Nothobranchius furzeri: one gene and its partner. The protein of the gene in region 1 purifies or fractionates together with the protein of each later gene. This does not show direct contact. Links are inferred from orthologs where the notes say so. Each region holds a gene or a part of one and is shown on either strand. Other genes may lie near its edges. The genes, in order: tdrd3 and fmr1.

Region 1 (9,295 bases):
AAACAAACAAACTGGAAAGCTTTGTTTGGTTTTGAAAAACAAAGAGAAAGTCTCTGGCCTAATTAAGGAAACGTCATGCTCATCACGGAGCTTCATTACCTGTGTGGTCCTTTACTGATGCTGGGGTTCAGAATAAGAACCGTTCTAAGTGAGCAAATACTGCCATCATGTGGACCTTGGTAATACATCACCACCAGATTACAGGACTGGTATTTTTATTTGAGTTTTTGCCATTAGCATGGACAATACCTTCAAATTTTAACTGCTTCTGCTAGAATATATTCTCTTAAACAAAAATAATATTATTTAGATTTTCATATTTAACTAAAAGCTTTCTCAATGTCTCTAATTAAAACTGATCACGTCACAATTATATTATCCTTCATCCAAAAGCAGGATTTACTGGCTGTAAAAGCCACTGACACTAGTCAGTGACTCGATGCTATCTGCTGGGTTCCTTAAAAGACATTTAAACTAGTTGGCTTAATAAACTGAACTTTACTGGAATGTTTTACTTCATGCCATGACTGTTGCCGTGATTTTGCACTACATAAATAAATTGAATTGAAATACTTCTTTTAACTTTGCAACTTTTAAAAATACATTTATTGTCTCGCTTCCAATCAATCAATCAATCAATCAATCAATCAATCAATCAATCAATCAATCAATCAATCAATCAATCAATCAATCACTCAATCAATCAATCAATCAATCAATCAGTCAATCAATCAATCAATCTCACTTTCATGCCTGTTGCTGCTGGAAGTCCCACTGAATTAATTATAAGCACTATGACACAGTCATAAATATTAGAGGTTTGCTGGTGGGGCTGTGGAATTAATACCAGGACTATGAGTTCTAGTGAACATGTATTTAGGTGCACAACAATACAAATTAGAAAATAAAACACAGCAAAATCAATTACAGATCATCAATATAAACCTAGTTAACACAATAGGACATGGGGCAGCAGTAGCTCAACAAGTTGAACGGGTTGTTCAGTAATCGGAAGGTTGTCGGAAGATCTTTGTCTCCCCTCTCCCTGCCACACCTGGTGTGGAGTGCGGTGCCTTGGTCTGCCTGGGTCGTGGCTCCCGGGTCAGGGAGTTTAAGATTTTTGGCATCTGCCTGACCAATCCCGGTGGCTGCCTGGTGGGGTCTGGGTCCCTGGGCTCAGCTTCGGACGGAGAATTCTGCTGTTGTGTCCTTGGGCAAGACACCTAACCCACCTCGCCTGCTGGTGGTCTGAGGGACCAGTGGTGCCTGTGCTTGGCAGCCTCACCTCCATCAGTGAGCCCCAGGGCAGCTGTGGCTACATCGTAGCTCATCCCTGCCAGTGTGTGAATGGATGAATGATGCACTGTAGTGTAAAGCACTTTGGAGTCATCTGACTCTGAAAGGTACTAGACAAGTTTATGTCATTTCTCATTTATCATGATTATTGAACAAATATTTAGTCCAATTCCTTTCCTGTTATTATTCTGCAGCTGAAACTCCTCTGTGGAAATGCGACATGAAGTTTATGACACAAATAATAAACTTTCTGATGCTAAATGAAGGAGAAGAAAGGTTTGCTACTAATGATTCTCTTGTTTCTCTTGTTCTGCTTTAAATATCTCAACAATATTTGTGCAGCATGAAATTTTAATTAGGGCCCCTGATTTAAGCACAAAATGTTTATTTTTAAACAAATATTCTAGTTGGTGATCACTAATATTATAAATAGTTATGCATCCTATGGACTTCTCATTTAGTGCTGTGCTTCTTTTATTTGTAGCTACAGTATTTTAATATGCCAAGCTGTTTGGCAACAGTAATTGTCTATGACAGGTGCCATGTTAAACTGTACTGTGGATATGTCTACATTCTGGCATGGAGATCATTTTGGATTTCAGTATAAGTGGATCTGAGTAAAACGACTGTGGATTCTTTGCAACACTGGACAGACTGATGAGAAAAGCTGGTTTGGTGGTGGACACGGAGAGGAGAGAAGCATGAAGAAACTGGTGGCTGTAATGGGCCGCACCCAGCATCTTCTGCTCAACACTATCATCAGGCAGACAAAAATGGTCAGTAACTGCCTCCTGCAGCAACATCCAACAGAATGACTCAGACCTCATCTGTTCCACTGTCTGTTAGGCTGTTGAGCTCCTCTCAGTTGAAAGAGAAAAGACACAAATGAAATGTCAATCAAATCACATCTCTAAGTGCAACAATTAACTTTGACACAGACTCTGTTTGATGTGCGTTTTAATTTATTTTTAATAAAGATTGTCAGTGTCTTCCTTCAGTCACCACTTTTACATTACAGTTTTTCTCCACTGGTTTGGCTCATTTCTTGAAACAGAAATTACATTCTCAAAATAACATGGACAAACCTCCAAACCTTTTGGCAAATGTTCACAACAGAATGGCATTTTGGGGACACTGACTATTCAGATTAGAAAGAAATGTAGTTTTGACACACGAGTGAGCTGTTTTAGGGGAGATATGAGCTTTTGCAGGTAAACCACGCTGTTATGATCAACTATCCATGTTTATTTTGACAAAAGCACCAAGAAGGATGAGAATGTCCGATTTGTGTCGAGAAATGAGCCAAAGCTATTGAGAGGGATCTTTGCCATTTTGGAGACACTGTTTAACCCTCCCACTGTCCTAATGGGTGTGACCCCGCGAGGAAAGTTAACCATTGGGCAGGGTTGATGGTTTATCCCTTGGGTCCATGTGGCAGGGGTGAGGAGTGAGCACCACCTCACCCCTGCCACATGGACCTCAAGGGATAAACCATCAATCCTGCTCTATGGTCAACTTTCCTCGCAGGGTCACCCATAAATACAGTGGGAGGGTTAAATGAGAAAGGGGTTTAGATTGAAGCCTGAGTGAACAGTTTTGAAAGAGATATGAGCTTTTGCAGGTGTTGTGCTAAACTGTAAGAGTGTTTTGCCAAATGATTTTAGAGGTTTGAGAATGAAATTTTTGTTTCAAGAAATGAGCCAAACCAATGGAGAAAACTGCAATATGCAGCCTATTTCAACTGCTTATAAAAATAAACTTCAGTCAAGCAATAATTATAAATACATTTCCCTTAAGTTACTATAGTCATTACTATTACTGCAAAGCCTCTTTCAGGGCTGCATACTTTTGCAATATATATATATATATTAGAGAAAGTCCAGTTGCCCTATCGATCGATCGATCGATCGATAGATAGATAGATAGATAGATAGATAGATAGATAGATAGATAGATAGATAGATGATAGATAGATAGATAGATAGATAGATAGATAGATAGATAGATAGATAGATAGATAGATAGATAGATAGATAGATAGATAGATGATAGATAGATAGATACATTATGTAGGATTTTAATCTTTTTAATTGAGTTCATATGTCATTTCATATGGATGCTGTACCAACGCGTCAGGATGGAAATAAAAAATATTTGTCAATTGTTACTTTTAAAATAATTGTCTTTATGGATGTGTTTGTATTTTTGTTGATTATAAAGCACTTTTAACCATTAGAATTACAGTAAAATCGATTGTGTGGAAATTAAATGTATTTTGACCTTCTCGGCACGCCGTACTCGTACAATGCGTCTCAGTTGGTGACGTAATTACGGTTGGGTCATTCAGAGTTCCCATTAACGAGCTTTGTTTGCAGGATAATATGCATTGTAGCATCAGATAATCGTTCTTGAGGTGGTCCCCTTATAAACCGACGATTGTGTTTATTCACACATCTTCGACTGGACGAAAATGACCGATCTAGCAGAGTCCCTGATCAAAGAGGGCTGGTAGGTAGCATGGTAGCTCAATGGTGCTGCTAGCCGTCTGAGCTGTCAGTTAACTGTTGAATAAAATAATTAGTCGTCACGTTGCCCTTTTTAATACTTGAGAATAAACAGCAACACTCGGAACTGCTCGACTTGTAGCAACATAGTTGGAAAGCTACACGACTACCAGAAACCACACGTCTGCTAGCTGGTTTAACTTAGCAGACGTAGCATTTGAAAGCAGACAGACGTTACTTCGTGCGTCAGACAAGAATCCGTAATAGCGTGCAGGTTCGGTCACTGATACCCGATGGCACTTGTTCAAAACCTGAACAAACAGCTCGTTTTCCAAGTGCTTTTGAAACGACGACTAACAGTGCTGCTGACTTTAATTTCTGGTTATTCTTTTAGAAATTTCAACAATCCAACGAGGCAATTACAGTTTTATTAAATTGATATGTTGTGGTTGGTCAAAATGTATTTATTTCCCTCAGAAATGCATTCATTTAGCATGAATATATCAGTTTCATGTTGTAGTGAAATTCTGCGGGAGTACATCTGAGAGACAAATGTGTTTTGAACCATTTCAGACGCAGGTGCATATTTAACACCTTTTACAACAAACAACACTAATAAAATTCCCAGTTGCAGAAATGTTTGGCTTCGCTTAATTTCACAGTCGGTGTTACTTTTGTAATGTTGCTGATAATAATAATAATAATAATAATGCAAAATGTAATCAATATTAGACTACAAAAAGTTCTAACTCCAAAATATTGATCAGATTGAACCAGAGTGTTTGTTTACATTATGTTCTCTGCAGTGTGCTTTTGTTTATGTTGTTTTACCTGAGCGTTTTGTGCAGGACTTTTAATTGTATTGACTATTTTTTTATTTGAGTTTTAACGTAATTAAAGTGATACATTAAATGTATGCACTAGAGAAAAAAATCTGTTTATGCTTTAGTGGATCTATGAAACTTGTAGACTTTGCCCTCTTTAGTTATTTTGTGAAACGTTATAAAGTTCTTAAGTCTTTTAATTTAGCAAAATAAAGCTGCATTTAGTGTTGTAACCATGTAAAATTAAATTGTAAGACTTTTCTAAATAAGAGGATGCTGCACAACTGAACTCTACGCAAAGTTGACTTTCTCTTACTTTTCAAGTCTGATTGCCTAATTAGTGCATCATATCAAACACTCTTTTTTTGCTCGTATCAGTAAATTTAGGAGGAAAGTCAATAATTTACAATAACAGCTGGAGATTTAACCCCCACTGGGTTTCAGAATATTTTAAACAATGTCTTCTGCATGAAAGACTTGCTCTCCTGCTGGCTCACCTTACTCAGCATTATTTCCTCTTCTCCTTGTGTCATATCTCACAGGTACCTCAGTGATGACGGCATAGCAGAACTGAAGGGATCGGCTGAGAAAATAACACACACTGACATCATTCGTATTGCACTCAATGTAAGTTGTATTCTCTTAGTGTTTTTGTGGTGTGACAGTAGTCTGGGTAGGAAAATGGATGTGAAAAGCATTTTAAAGGTTAATGGAAAAGGTCACATTTTTTTGCATCAGTTATCCAAGAGTCAGCATGTTTGCTGTCATCTTTTGCTTAGCATGAATTTATAAGTCATTTTTTGAAAAACTGCCTTGATTCTATCATCTTCAGTTGCTTCAGGTGCATTTCTCCATCATTCATTCATTCTTTGGTCTGTTTGTCTGATGCCTTCCTGACACAATATCTGGAATGAAAATGAAACTTTTAAAGTTGTGGAACACTGATAAACCCTCTCTACTAGGGATGAGCGGATAAAGCATTTTTGACGAATACGAGCATGAAGTGACTAAAACTCATAAATATCTGTAATCGTGCTGAAGGAAAATCCTCATTGGGTATCTGACTGCCTTCACGCTCTGTGATTGGCCAGTCACATAGAGCGCTCGCCCCTCCCTACACACAAAACTCTGCAGTCGGGAGCTCAGTCCGCGTCCGGCTTATCCACGCACACACACAGACAGTAACAGATCTCTCTGTGCTTGCTTCACTGTTGCTCACATTTCTTCAGTACTCCCTAGGTTTTCCTCAGCTCGCTTTTTTCAGTTTAATATTTAAAGTTACTTTTTTTTGTAACTTACATGGTGCATTTGACAAGACAGAGCTGAAAAACAGCTCGTGCTGCGTCGGTCACTGCCTCCGCTCTGCTCGGGGCTTTTTTGTTTTATTTTTCTCTCTCTCTCTCTCTCTCTCTCTCTCTCTCTCTCTCTCTCTCTCTCTCTCTCTCTCTCTCTCTCTCTCTCTCTCTCTCTCTCTCTCTCAATTAATGCTCATAAATAATGTTCTGATTTTATTGAAAAACTTGTTCTGTAATAGTTTCTTTACTATTGTGATCAAAAATATGTAATCTCAATTCTGAGGCTGCTCTGTAAATAGTGTTTATATAAACAATACACATAGCAACTTCTGATCAGTCCATATCAGTTTCAGACTTAAAATAATGTATTGATGTAAACCACACCTACTCCCGGTTAAACTGCACACACTTCCAGGTTAGGCCACGCCCACTCCAAATACAGATAATTTAGATGATTGAACAGATACAGATACAGATAGTGGTGTACTTGCTCATCCCTACTCTTTACTTGTTATTTCTGATTATAAGCAGTCCCTGTTGAGGTGTTCATGCAGGCTGAACATGTATATAGTCTCCTACACCTGTCTCCTGCATTATCTTCTGGTAGAAATTAGATGGTGAAACTCTAGGATTTGAAAATCCTAACAGGTCTATATCACACTGTCACTTAACATTCATGGACTCACCCATGTTGACTTGTGATGGGGGAGACTGTTGTTGGTGTTAGCATCCAGCAGAGAACATCTCGGCTAGTAGAAGCTAACCACATTAGTAAATCCACCACACAGTAGAACTCCTTCAGGCTTGAGTTATTTGTGGAGATCAAACATCAACGTTGCAGAGCAAGCAGAGTTGGTGGTAGAGTTGCATTGTTGTTAGCCAGTCAGAAGTGACATATCCAAATATCAGGAAGCAAGACTCCAAATCCTGCCTTGTTAAGCTCTCCTCTGACGTGGCATTCTGCTCGTTCCCAAAACAGGCGCATCTGTGCTTTTCTTCCCCTGAGTACGACTTGCAAGGCATTCATTCCTACTAGAGACCACTGTAAATGTATTGATTAAAGTGTCCCACACTTTTAAGGATAAAATTATTCAACCATCACAATTGTTAAATTACAGCTGTGTGTTCTCGAAACAGCAGCTGCATAAATACATAAAAGGACACTATCATTGTTCATAGGATCTCAAGTTTTTTAAATACTTCACAAAAGGAAAATTACAAAGGCGGCTTATCTGACCCACAGTATCAGATGAGTACAGAACACAGGAGCTGCATTCACAGCAGAAGCCTTGACCTTTTCAGGTTGGCCTGGAGCACTGCCAAAAGATCTGAGACGGCACTTGGACACATCACAGTGCACCTGATTCATTCGGCATGTTTTAACTTCAGGGCAGAGCTTAGAGGGCCATAAAATGGGGGTTGGTTTTACCGGAATATGCAATTAAAGAGTTTTAAGTAATTATTTAAATGTGAAAACAAACCAAATTCCTGACATCTTTCTATTATTAATTGTTGATAAATTGTACCTAGAAGGAGCCTTCTTTTTATTGTAACCAATGTCAGAACATGCCTCAGTATGATGCACAGGTCTGTAACTAAATCTGTTAAATCATTGTCATTAGATGCTCACCAAAAAGGGCCGTGTTAATTATTAAACTTTCAGTGCTTCATAATCAGCCTTTTTCCTGCTTTACTCTTACTATGACTTGTGTAATAACTGTTTTTGTTACGATGATGTGTGTTTCTTGCAGAATGATCTTAGGCCTATTGGGAGAAAATTTCTACCTTCTGATATCAACAGTGGAAGAACTGAGAAAGTAAGTGGAACAGAAATTCACAGGTTTCCTGCTAAGTGGTGAAGCACTACTGCCCTTGTTTTATGTCAGAAAGTGTTTGGAAAATGCTTGTAAATGAGTAGCTGCGGTGCAGTTCTCAGGGAAGCCACTAGATGGCGGAGACACACCAACAATATTGTGTTTAAGTTTTTTTTTTTTTTTTTGTGAAACTTAGAAAATGTTTTAGTTTTTAAAACATTGAATATTGACCCTTCTCCTTAAAAGGCTCTTAAATAAAAATAAAGCAATGTAAATTCAAATGGAAGAATGAACAAACCAGTTCTATTATAAGCTGAAAATAAAAGTCTCAAAGCCATTTAATTTCCATATCTGTTATTATCTTCAGTGCTTTGCAGCAGATTTGCCTCTCAGACCAATTTTCTTTGTTCTCTTCCAGTTGGAGGGTCCATGCGTCCTCCAGGTGCAGAAGGTGAGAAACATCTCTGCTCCTAAAGACCACGAGGAGTCCCAGGGTGCACCGCGAATGCTGCGCCTACAGATGACAGATGGGCACACCACCTGTGTTGGATTAGAGTATAAACATCTGTCCAAGATCAGGTATGGGGGCCGGGGGGGGGGGGGGGGGGGGGGGGGGGGTCAAACCAACAGATGCAGTTTAATGTGATTGTTTTGTACGTTAATATTGGCTAGTCAGATTTGCTTAGGTAAAAGTGCCACTTTTTCCCCCTTTGTGTGTGTGCGTGCATGTGTGTGTGTGTGTGTGTGCGTGTGTTTGTGCTCGTGTACTCTAATATACCAGCAACAGTGGGAAAAAAAATGCAACAATGACTAAATATCACAGTTCAGAAATTATGGATAAATTATAAAACTGTAAAGTTTTGAAAACAATAAATAAAAAATAAACTAAACAGCATTTTCTGTAGCAGTCTAAATGCAGAACAGCATGCATTTGGCCCTATCGTCACCCATTCAAAGCTAACATGTACGATTCTGTGCACACACGCTCCTCCTTCACCTCCTTGTCAACACTCTCACCCCACCACATGTCTGAATTTTTGCCTTTATCTGCAATTTCCACTTGGTGGCAGCTGATTTAACGACTTGCAGCCTTAATTACTTCTGCGTCCAAGCAACGGTGGCCTTGGTGATTGCTGCCATGGTGACGGACCAGTCTGTACAGGTGGAGTGGCCAGAAAATGGGCCTTTCCTTCCTGATGGGGGGAGAGTAGAGAACAGAACAGATCCCCTCTTTATGAGCGGCGCACACACTCTCTGGCAGCCAACAGCAGTAGTTAGTGTTTCTGATGGACGTGTTGGCTTTGGTGTGAGTGAGAACATAAGTGGGTGGCAAGGAAGGATGAGATGGATTACAAGACTGTTCACTATGTAAGGCAGTGATATAAAAAGGGGACAATTAAGCATTAAGTAGCATCGATTGAGGTTGAATAGTGTGTTTGTGTGTGATTGAATCAAGGATAGTTTGTTCCTTTTTGCTGGGTTGTCGGCGGCACGAGCGCGCCATCCATCCCAGAGGTTTGGAGTGAAATCCCTAATTGTTACTATGGCTTCCAGCATCAGTA
Region 2 (9,281 bases), on another chromosome or scaffold:
GGCTGTACCGTTACTCTGCGGGCGCGAGGGGGGAGGGGGTAATGTTTGTAAATTATAAGAATACCTTTTTTGCCCGAATTTTGACTGACAGGCTACATAATTAAGAAAACGCTCAACGGTTCAAATGGTGGGCAACTAATTTGTATGTTTTCTGAGCAATATGCTACTGTAATAATAACTCAACTCTGCAAATTTTTTTTATTTTCTATTATCTATTGTCACCAAGTTTATTTATAAAGCACTTATAAAACAGCAAGGCAGCTGACCCAAATAGTGCCCAAAGCAATCAATGCACATAAAGAAAAGCACAGAAATACAAAGTATAGCTGTAAAAGTTAATCAAAACACTTAAAAGCAGTATACAAGATATAGATAAAAAACCACTACTCAATCCCAAAAGTCCAACCAAAACATTGATAAAAGCCAGAAACCCAAGTTAACCAGATACCCACCAGCCACTTACCTAAGTTAGCAAACTAGCAACCTCCAAAAACTCGATTAAAAATAAGACAAGGGCTGGGAGCCCCAGAGTACCTCACCTGCCTAAAGCACATATGTCAGAGTCAAGGCGGCCCGCGAGATAAATATCAAAAATATATTAAAACTGGCCCACTGGCCGATTTTACCGCAAAGACTACAACTCCCATGATGCTTTGCGGCGCCAGCGCGGAGCCGACGCGCCCCCTCCTTTGTGTTTTTTCAGCGCCGAGGCAGTCAGAGGTAGTTGGGTGTCTGCAGCTCCGCTGTCTCGGACAAACTAAACACTCCTCTCACTCAGCGCCGAGTTCACTCAGCTGTTTTCTGACGTTGAAGCCCAGAAACGGAGATTCTAGCCGCTCAGTAATGTGTTCACGACTGAAAGAGAAAGTTTTCCAACTAACGTCCAGACAGAGCTGATATAACTCCAGCGAGCAGCGACACGCTCAAACCAGCACGACTCTGTGGTTGTGTTTCCTCCCCGACACACAACAACGCGGTCAAGCAGCTCAGACATGTTCATCAGCACAAACCTATGTGAGCACCTGTTGTCATCTAATGTTGTCATTATTATGATGAAGATGAACAAAACAACAGGAGTCTCCTCCTCAGCTCAGATCAACCCCATGATGCAGGTATCTGGCTGGAACAGGTGAGCATCACAGTAAACCAGTGGAGCAAACTGAGCTTTAAATATGTTGGTTTGATGCTCTTTTTCTGCTCCAAAACATGAAAGTTAACAGGTGAGATGTTGCATTTTCATTTAAGATGAAATGATATTTTTATTTTGTTGTTGGCCCGTGAGAAAAGATTTAACCTACAGTAAACAGGAAGTGGAAAGGCTGCAGATAGATGACTAGAATAGAAAATCCCTTTATTGTTCCTCAGTGGGGAAAGCTAGACGTCACAGCAGCGATGACACGTATTACAGGAGAAAAAAGGAGAATAAAAAATAAGAAAAATGAATAAACAAGAAAACATAAATCCTGAATAGATTTAAAAATGCTGATTATACCACAAGTAATGAATACCACTGATGCCTTTTATTTAAAACGGACTTGCTCGTGTGTAATTTGGTTATTCCACATTCAGTGTTAATGCAGAAATAAGTTTGTTTCCTAATTTAAAGGTTCAAAATTGCATATATGTTGATACAGAAAATGTGCAAATTTGCGTCACTTTTTCAAAAAATATGAAGTTTGGCCCTCGACTCCGTCCCAGAGTTTCATTTCGGCCCCGTGTGAGTTTGAGTTTGACACCCCTGGCCTAAAGGAACAACTGGCAGTTTTGGCTGCTTTTAGCACCCCCTAGTGTCCGTTATTAATTCTCTGTGATCAAAGTGAAAATGAAACCTGTCTCCTCGCTGTGCGTTTGTCTTTTTAACACCTTAATCTAATGGCTGAGTAATGCTTCTGCTTCTGTGTCAATGCGGAGACACTCAACGCCATCATCTGTTCTTGCGTAGGCCCCCCCGACAGGCACGTAAGTACGTATGGAGTCGAGCCCACTTTTCTTAACATCCGTTGAACGAGATGGAGAACAGGCGCTTGTGATTGGCCAGTCCAGAAACCTGAGATCACTTCAGTCATGACGCCATTTCCTTTAAATTTGTCAACAGTGCCAGAGTCGCGTGGGAAGTTGTGTGGTGTCTCCTTTTATGCTCTCGCTGGTATTTCAGCAAGATAAGCATTTCTTCATCTAGATTACACAGTTCCAACTCGATCAAACTACTCTTTCTCGTGTTGCTTGCCATTTTCAGACCGCAGAAGTGATTTCCAAGGAAATATTACGATGTCACTGTACTGCTACCTACATTACGCCCTCTGTTGTCCTGGCGGAGAATTGCTTTGCAACACCCCTTCAGCAAACGAGGACGTATGAGAGCAAAACGCTTCTGTCAATCCGTGCGTGTCTGTCCCTTGTGGAGCTGACGCAGGAGCATGACTGACCCCTTCTTTCCACCGGAGCCGTCAGCAGCGCGAGTCGGCCGCGTCTCAGGAGCAGCATGCCGCGGCCTTTACGCGCCGGTTCTATTTTCTACGCGCTACGCCTCTGAAACGGGTCAAGTTCGACATTTTTGGGGAAGGAAAGACAGGAAATCGGACGCAAAAACGGAGCGAAGCTTCCCGAGATTTTCAGAATAAAGAAATGTCCTGCCTTCCGGTTGCTTTACTCTAAAAAATAGTTACTAACTGTGCGGCCCCGTGAGAAGTTATCACCTAGCTAGCGGCCTCCTTTGTTTTTCAGGTCCGTATTGGATTATAAAATGGACAGAACATAAAACGCAAACCTTTTGGAGCCATGTTGTAATTTTCTCCTGCTTGTTGTTGTGTTTACTGACGAAGTCACTCGTGTGACTTCGAGCTCTGTCGGTGACAGCTGCTCCCCTGCTGATTCGCGTCTCGTGGGAAGGGCCAAGCAGCAGCTTACGCGAGCAAGACGTGCTGCTGCAGTAACGTGCTGCTGACGGCTCCGGTGGAAAGAAGGGGTCAGGCTTAACAGCTGAAATGTTTCCGCAGCCTTCGTTAGTGTCTATAGGAGTGATTCGTCACCAAATTAAACAAAACAGCTGTGTTCATGATCTAAAACATGCAGGTAATGTGCTGGAAGCAGACTGCCACACCAGGCTTTATTTTCTAAGTCCCAGCAAGGGTAAAGGGTCATTTTAGCACATACTGGCTCAAGAAAATGATTTAAAAATATGAAAAAGTTGCAAAGTATGGCTTTAACAAGAGCTGCAGAGACATTCAAACTTCTCCAAGGCATTTTAAATCCAACAACATTTAATAAGTGAGACCATTTAGAGAATGAAACCTGCTAAACAGCTTGGCGGCAGAAGCATTTGTGTCCATTGTATGGTTTTGTTTTAAGGCAGCACCACACCCAGACCTTCTATAAAAAATTAGATCAAATTCTATAAAAGAGCTGGGTTTGACAAGACAAAAAGGCAAAAATGAAAGCTAAGTTCAATAATATGTCTCCTTACAACTAGAATTAAACTCAGCAAGATGAGTCCCATGTACCAACCTGTATGACTGTATTTACTAAATTCATCAGTCAGCCACACCACTTATTCATTTAGCTGGCACCTAGCTGATGTTCTTTAGTATTATGATTACTGTTTGATCCCACTACTCCAGTAGTAGAATATGTACTACTGTCCCCTATTCCACATTAAACGTGTTTATGAGCTACTGTTAGCTTTCTGTGTCAACGTGTTTGTACCATCACTGATTGACATAAGTCATGTAATAAATACAAACGTCTATATTTGGATATTAAAAACAAAACCTAATCAGACTTTATAGAAACAGCCGGTCCACTGAGGGAGGACAAATCTGAAAACCAGAGTTGGACGCTGATGTATTTATTTGGGACTTTCTTGGGTTGAATCGTGAACATTTGTGAGTGACCACTCCTCTCCATCACTGAACAGGAACACACCACAAACACATTTTAGCAATTGCAGGAAAACGCCAGCCCTGCAGTGGCATCCCGACTCGGTCACTAATTTCACTAAAAGCACTGAGATGGCAACGGTTTTGTTTTTGGATTTGTTTCCAGCCTCCGCATCCTGGATGGGGCTGAACACGCAGGCCCGTACACACACAAGATGCCCAGTAAACCTGGTTGTTAGTTAGGCTGCTGTTTGCACAGTGAGCGGTAGCAGAAAGCTCCACTTAACTCGCCCACTTACCTTATAAAAGGCTCCACTCGTCCCTCTCACTTCCACAACCAGCTCCTCCATGGCGCAACTTACTACAGCTCACTAGCTAGCTAGCTAACTACCGCTAGCGACGTTAGCAGCCAGCTAGCTGGCTGGCTAGCCTGACGCTAGCCAAGATCAGTTTTCAACCAAAGACCGCTTCCTGCGAGCTGCGTGCAAGAAGAGGCCGAGGTACCCGCGAACGTCGGTAATATTGATTCCCGTTTTGCACAGCGTCTTAATATTTCGTCCTGCTCCTTCCGAATGTGAAATTTAGACCGCTTGAAAAATCAAAGGCAACAGACTGTCCAGGTTAGCTTGTATTAGCCTGTTACGGTAATGTGTGATTAGTGTGGGTTTGTACAGCAAGCCGTTGTCACATTTAATCGTACCTAGATCTAAGTTGGTTTTGGACATGGACTTTAGCTGTGCTACACAACAATTTCTTACCTTGTAAGGATTAAAATTGTTGAGTAGGACAGACTATTTCGGCTGTAATAATTATTTTAATTGTTTTATAGTAAAGTACATCAATCGTTTTAAATTGGATTCGTATGTAGGCTATTTGTTATTACATACTTGCTCTTCATTGATCTGGTTATCGACGTCTAAATTTAGTCACAATGTAATACTGAACATTCCGTGTTTCCTCAAATATTTTTAGTTTTTCTTTAATTTTTGGATAGCCAACGTTACTTTAGATGTATATGACTTTTTGTTTTGGAAATTTGTGATATCTAAAAAGTTGGTAGTGTTCATTTTTGACAAGGAAATAAAAATAATTATTTATACCGCTTTGAAGAGCCTACCTAGATATTATATGCTAAACTGTTTAGCCATAATTCTTCATCTGCGCGCTTCTGTTACGTCACGTCTTCGCTTTCTTCTTCTCACCTGAGAGTTTCTCTGCTCTCTGCGGGTAGTAGAAATATCTTAACTTTGACGTCATTTGGATTAATACAAAATTCCTAGTCTTTGTGCTTACGTGCATCAACCAACGTTTAAATTAGCATTTTTAATAAATATACTGCCACAAAGGAAGTTGGCTTGCCATTTTGGGTAAAACTAAAGGATGTTTTAACAGCAAAGATCTTCATACTTTATATTGTACATTACTATTATCATACCCGACGTACTGTGCAACAGTCTGGGGGAATGCACACAAGACAAATTTACAACCAATTAACATTTTACATTTTAATTTTAATGCTGAAAAAGGTCTATTAGATTTATAAATCAAGCAGGATATAGAGCCCACACTCATTAACTCTTTATGAAGTCAGGATTAATGAAATTTCCAGATTTAGTTAGGTTTAAAACAGCTCAAACATTTTCAAAGCAAGACACAACCAATTTACACATAAAATAAACAACTGGAAGAAAGGGAAGGAGGAAGAGCTGTTGCCTTGGTGCAAGAAGGTCCTGGGTTCGATTCCCGGCCTGGGATCTTTCTGCATGGAGTTTGCATGTTCTCCCTGTGCATGCGTGGGTTCTCTCCGGGTTCTCCGGCTTCCTCCCACAGTCCAAAAACATGACTGTTAGGTTGATTGGTCTGTTTAAATTGTCCTTAGGTGTGTGTGTGTGTGTGTGTGTGTGTGTGTGTGTGTGTGTGTGTGTGTGTGTGTGTGTGTGTGTGTGTTACCCTGCGATGGACTGGCTCTCTGTCCAGGGTGTACCCTGCCTGATTGCCCATTGACCGCTGGAGATGGGCACTGACCCTACGTGGACAAAGCGGATTCAGACAATGGATGGATGGATGGATGGATGGATGGAGTGAAAGTTAAACACATTTGAATCCTAATGTTTTGTTGGCTTTTGTAACCAACTCTGCACAGAGGTATTTATTTTATTAATTTTCAGTGTGCAGCCACATGCATTAAAACTGTCTGTTGTCTTTGGCTTAGGCTCCTAAATATCTTTTTCAAGTAGTGAAAACTCAATTTCCTTGGTTTTATTTTTAAATCAAAGTTAAATGAGCTTTACAGTACCTGTTTTAATGCCTAACCAGTCAGTGCAAACTAGATTTTTCCTTTTAAAAATTATTTTGTGCAAAGAATAGCAATGGTAATAATAAAATAATAAAACACTATTTTCTGTGTTGTCCTTGTTCAAATAAAACAAGACGTCACCGGTCCCTCCGACCGCCATAAGCAGGCACGGATGGAGAAGTGTCTCGCTCAAGCAGCCTGGTTTAGAACCTGCAGCAACTCCAGGATGAATTCCTAACCCCCTGAGTCACCACTGCTCATTTAAAATAGAAGAATCTTGGAGTCTCCCAAAGTTTTAACTTCAAAAAGAAAATATACTTATAATTTACTTATACAGAACAAATTAAGTGTGTTATAAATATCCTGTTTTGGAAATTTGGTTACCAAGATAAATTCTAGAGGAGTGATTTAGCTCTTCATAGACCTGCAGCTCGTGCTGAGAACGTTTTATCCCAGCTGTGACTGTCTTTATTTGTGCAGCACAATATTACACCAAACTTGTGCTAAATGATTTTGTAATTGTTTGCTGGATCCTAGCTCCGGTTTTGTCGCTGGCAGCAGCCCGGGTTGAAAATGAATGCAAGTCAAGGGGCTGAAAGAGCCATTTTCTAATCTGCTTTGCCTTACGCCCTGAATCGCCCGTATGTTGTACTTCAATTTAAGTGAGAACTAATGATGTGTGTTTTGACCATGCCAGTCACGCACTTTGAGACTTATCAGCTTGTAAAAATTTGTAATTAACATCAGACGTTGGTACGTTGCGTATATGGCGTCACCACAGTATCTCCGAGAAGATCTAGCTGCAAAAATGGCGGGATTCATGGTGGTTTCCTCATGAAGGAAGGATTCAAGGTTCGTTAAACTCACAACCATTTTCCCTTTGCTTTTCTCCATGTCTGGTTCGATGATGACGGTGATGCGCATTTGTAGTCCTGGACATATTTTCACCCAAAACCTAAAATAAGGGCATTGTTGGCATCAAAATAAATCTTTAAAATGTACAGGCATCATATGTGAAATCCGTGGCACGTAACAAATGGGATTAGAAAATAACGGATTTAGCCCTGTTGACTTGCATTCATTTTTTTGCTCTTCTGGGGTCTGGTCCAGAAGTAGATGGGCATGACTTAGGCTCCCTTTTGTGTGAGCAATGTGGCTTTTCCCACATGCATTCTATGTGAAAATATATGAAGATCTTGATTTTTTTTACCTAAACTGACTGTAGAAAGAACAAACAATTTTGACCTACTTAAAATTTATAGAATGTCTCAATAGATCTGATAGAAAGCTGAAATGACCCAGATCATTACTAGGGATGCACCGATCAGGTTTTTTGCTGCCGATCACCGATACCGATATCAAAGAATGCTGATCACCGATACCGATCACGATCACGTGGATTGGCCAGAAATTTTCTACAACATTATAATGAGTGCTACAAACTACATGATCTGGGAATAAAGGAAATGTAACCTAATCTAAAATGGTCTGTATTAGGGTTGTCACGGTGTGAAAATATAACCTCACGGTTATTGTGACCAAAATTACCACGGTTTTTGGTATTATTGTGGTATTTTTTTTAAACGTGCTACATTTTCACACAATTATATAAACCCTGTATGTCAGGAAATATTGTCCTCAGTTTGTGTCTAAATTTAGCCTAAAATGTGTTATTTTGTAATTATGTTGTTTATTTGTTTACATTTTTTCCCTTTAGTCTTTAAAATACCAATATTTGCCCATAACTTCTTATTTTATGTCTGTTTGATGTCATCATTTAAAAATATTAGATCAGATGATACTCAGTACTCAAGTAGCCTTCTAATCAGATACTTTTTTACCCTTACTTGAGTAACAAACCCTATATCAGGAGAATATTGTCCTCGGTTTGTGTCCTTCCAGTGAGCTTTGCAGATGTGGGAAAATGTCATCAGGCAGTAATCATTGTTAAATTCATAATTATTCTCGGGGAGAGACCAACTCTTATCTGCCCCTGGGAGCCCCATAATGCATAGCGTCATTTCAACATGGCGGTGTCCGCGACACGGTTTATATGCAGGTAGCGGCGCTGCGGCTGCTTTATATAGCGACTCGTTGCGTTCTCCCTCAACCCAAATCCTCGGATCACGCATTTTAGCTAAAACGCTAACGTTAGCTTGCCTTGCGTTGACTGTAGAGTTGTGGGTGATGGTCACGCAGATGTGTCATGAGATTTGAAGCGTTGCTGCCTTTCACAGACACTTTTTCTGCACGTGCTGCAAACAGGGTAGCCGTCTTCTATAAACTGTCCCTCGGCATTCTTCACATATCCAAAACATACCCATACTTCCCACTTTGTCTTCTTTGAGGGATAATAAATGTCCTGAGCGCTGCCGTCTCCTCCTTTGGCCATTATTTCAGCTTTAGCTTCAACAAAGTTTTGGTTGTAAACAACAAAGTGCGCATGTGCCGCCGGCAACTTCAGCAGATGATACGGTGGCTGGTAAGGGTCACGGGGCCTACACCGCAGCCACGGTAAACCCACCGAGATAATATAGTTTTTTTTTAAAACAAGATGGTTATTATTATTATTGTCAACTTTTTTTTACCGGGGTTTACCGCTACACCGGTTACCGTGACAACCCTACCTGATCGGTCTGCTTTGATCTATTTTGAAAACTCCGATCAAAACCAGTAGGGGCGCTATCGGCCGATTGGGATCAAATGCCGATCCATCGGTGCATCCCTAATCATTACCCCAAGATTACTCAAATTATTCTACTGATTCAAATTGCTGCATGCCGTGTGTGTGTGTATTGGAGCATATTACCTCTGTTTGCCTAAATGTGAAACTAGCAGTGTGTGTGGATTCATCTGTTAGTGTGATTTGATTCAGCTAAATGAGGCATTTGGGACTTCCTGTTGCTTTGAAGGTCATCAAAGAAACAAAAGGGACTCTGTGGGTTTTGGAGATAAGATCAATCAAAGCATGACAGTGTTCTGTTCACTGTTGTGATTCAATAAAGCTTATTTAGCTTCACATATTTCATTTGTTTGTTAGAAGAAATGAAAGGGTTCACTCATTGGCCATTTCTCAATACCCAAGTACACTAGTACATTCTTGTGTACTT

Evidence for each region.
Region 2: the proteins of tdrd3 (region 1) and fmr1 purify together in Homo sapiens (affinity purification with mass spectrometry; 4 studies listed by BioGRID and IntAct, with this or other methods). This does not show direct contact. The link is inferred for Nothobranchius furzeri from reciprocal best matches to the Homo sapiens genes TDRD3 and FMR1.

Annotation. Positions count from the first base shown.
Region 1 is NC_091749.1:38,763,164-38,772,458, forward strand, and holds the start of tdrd3 (tudor domain-containing protein 3), read left to right. Parts: upstream 1-3,628; 5' UTR 3,629-3,766; coding exon 3,767-3,804; intron 3,805-5,166; coding exon 5,167-5,251; intron 5,252-7,670; coding exon 7,671-7,736; intron 7,737-8,151; coding exon 8,152-8,312; intron 8,313-9,295. UniProt on the Homo sapiens protein: Scaffolding protein that specifically recognizes and binds dimethylarginine-containing proteins. Plays a role in the regulation of translation of target mRNAs by binding Arg/Gly-rich motifs (GAR) in dimethylarginine-containing proteins.
Region 2 is NC_091741.1:30,651,407-30,660,687, forward strand, and holds the start of fmr1 (fragile X messenger ribonucleoprotein 1), read right to left. Parts: upstream 5,105-9,281; 5' UTR 4,226-5,104; coding exon 4,175-4,225; intron 1-4,174.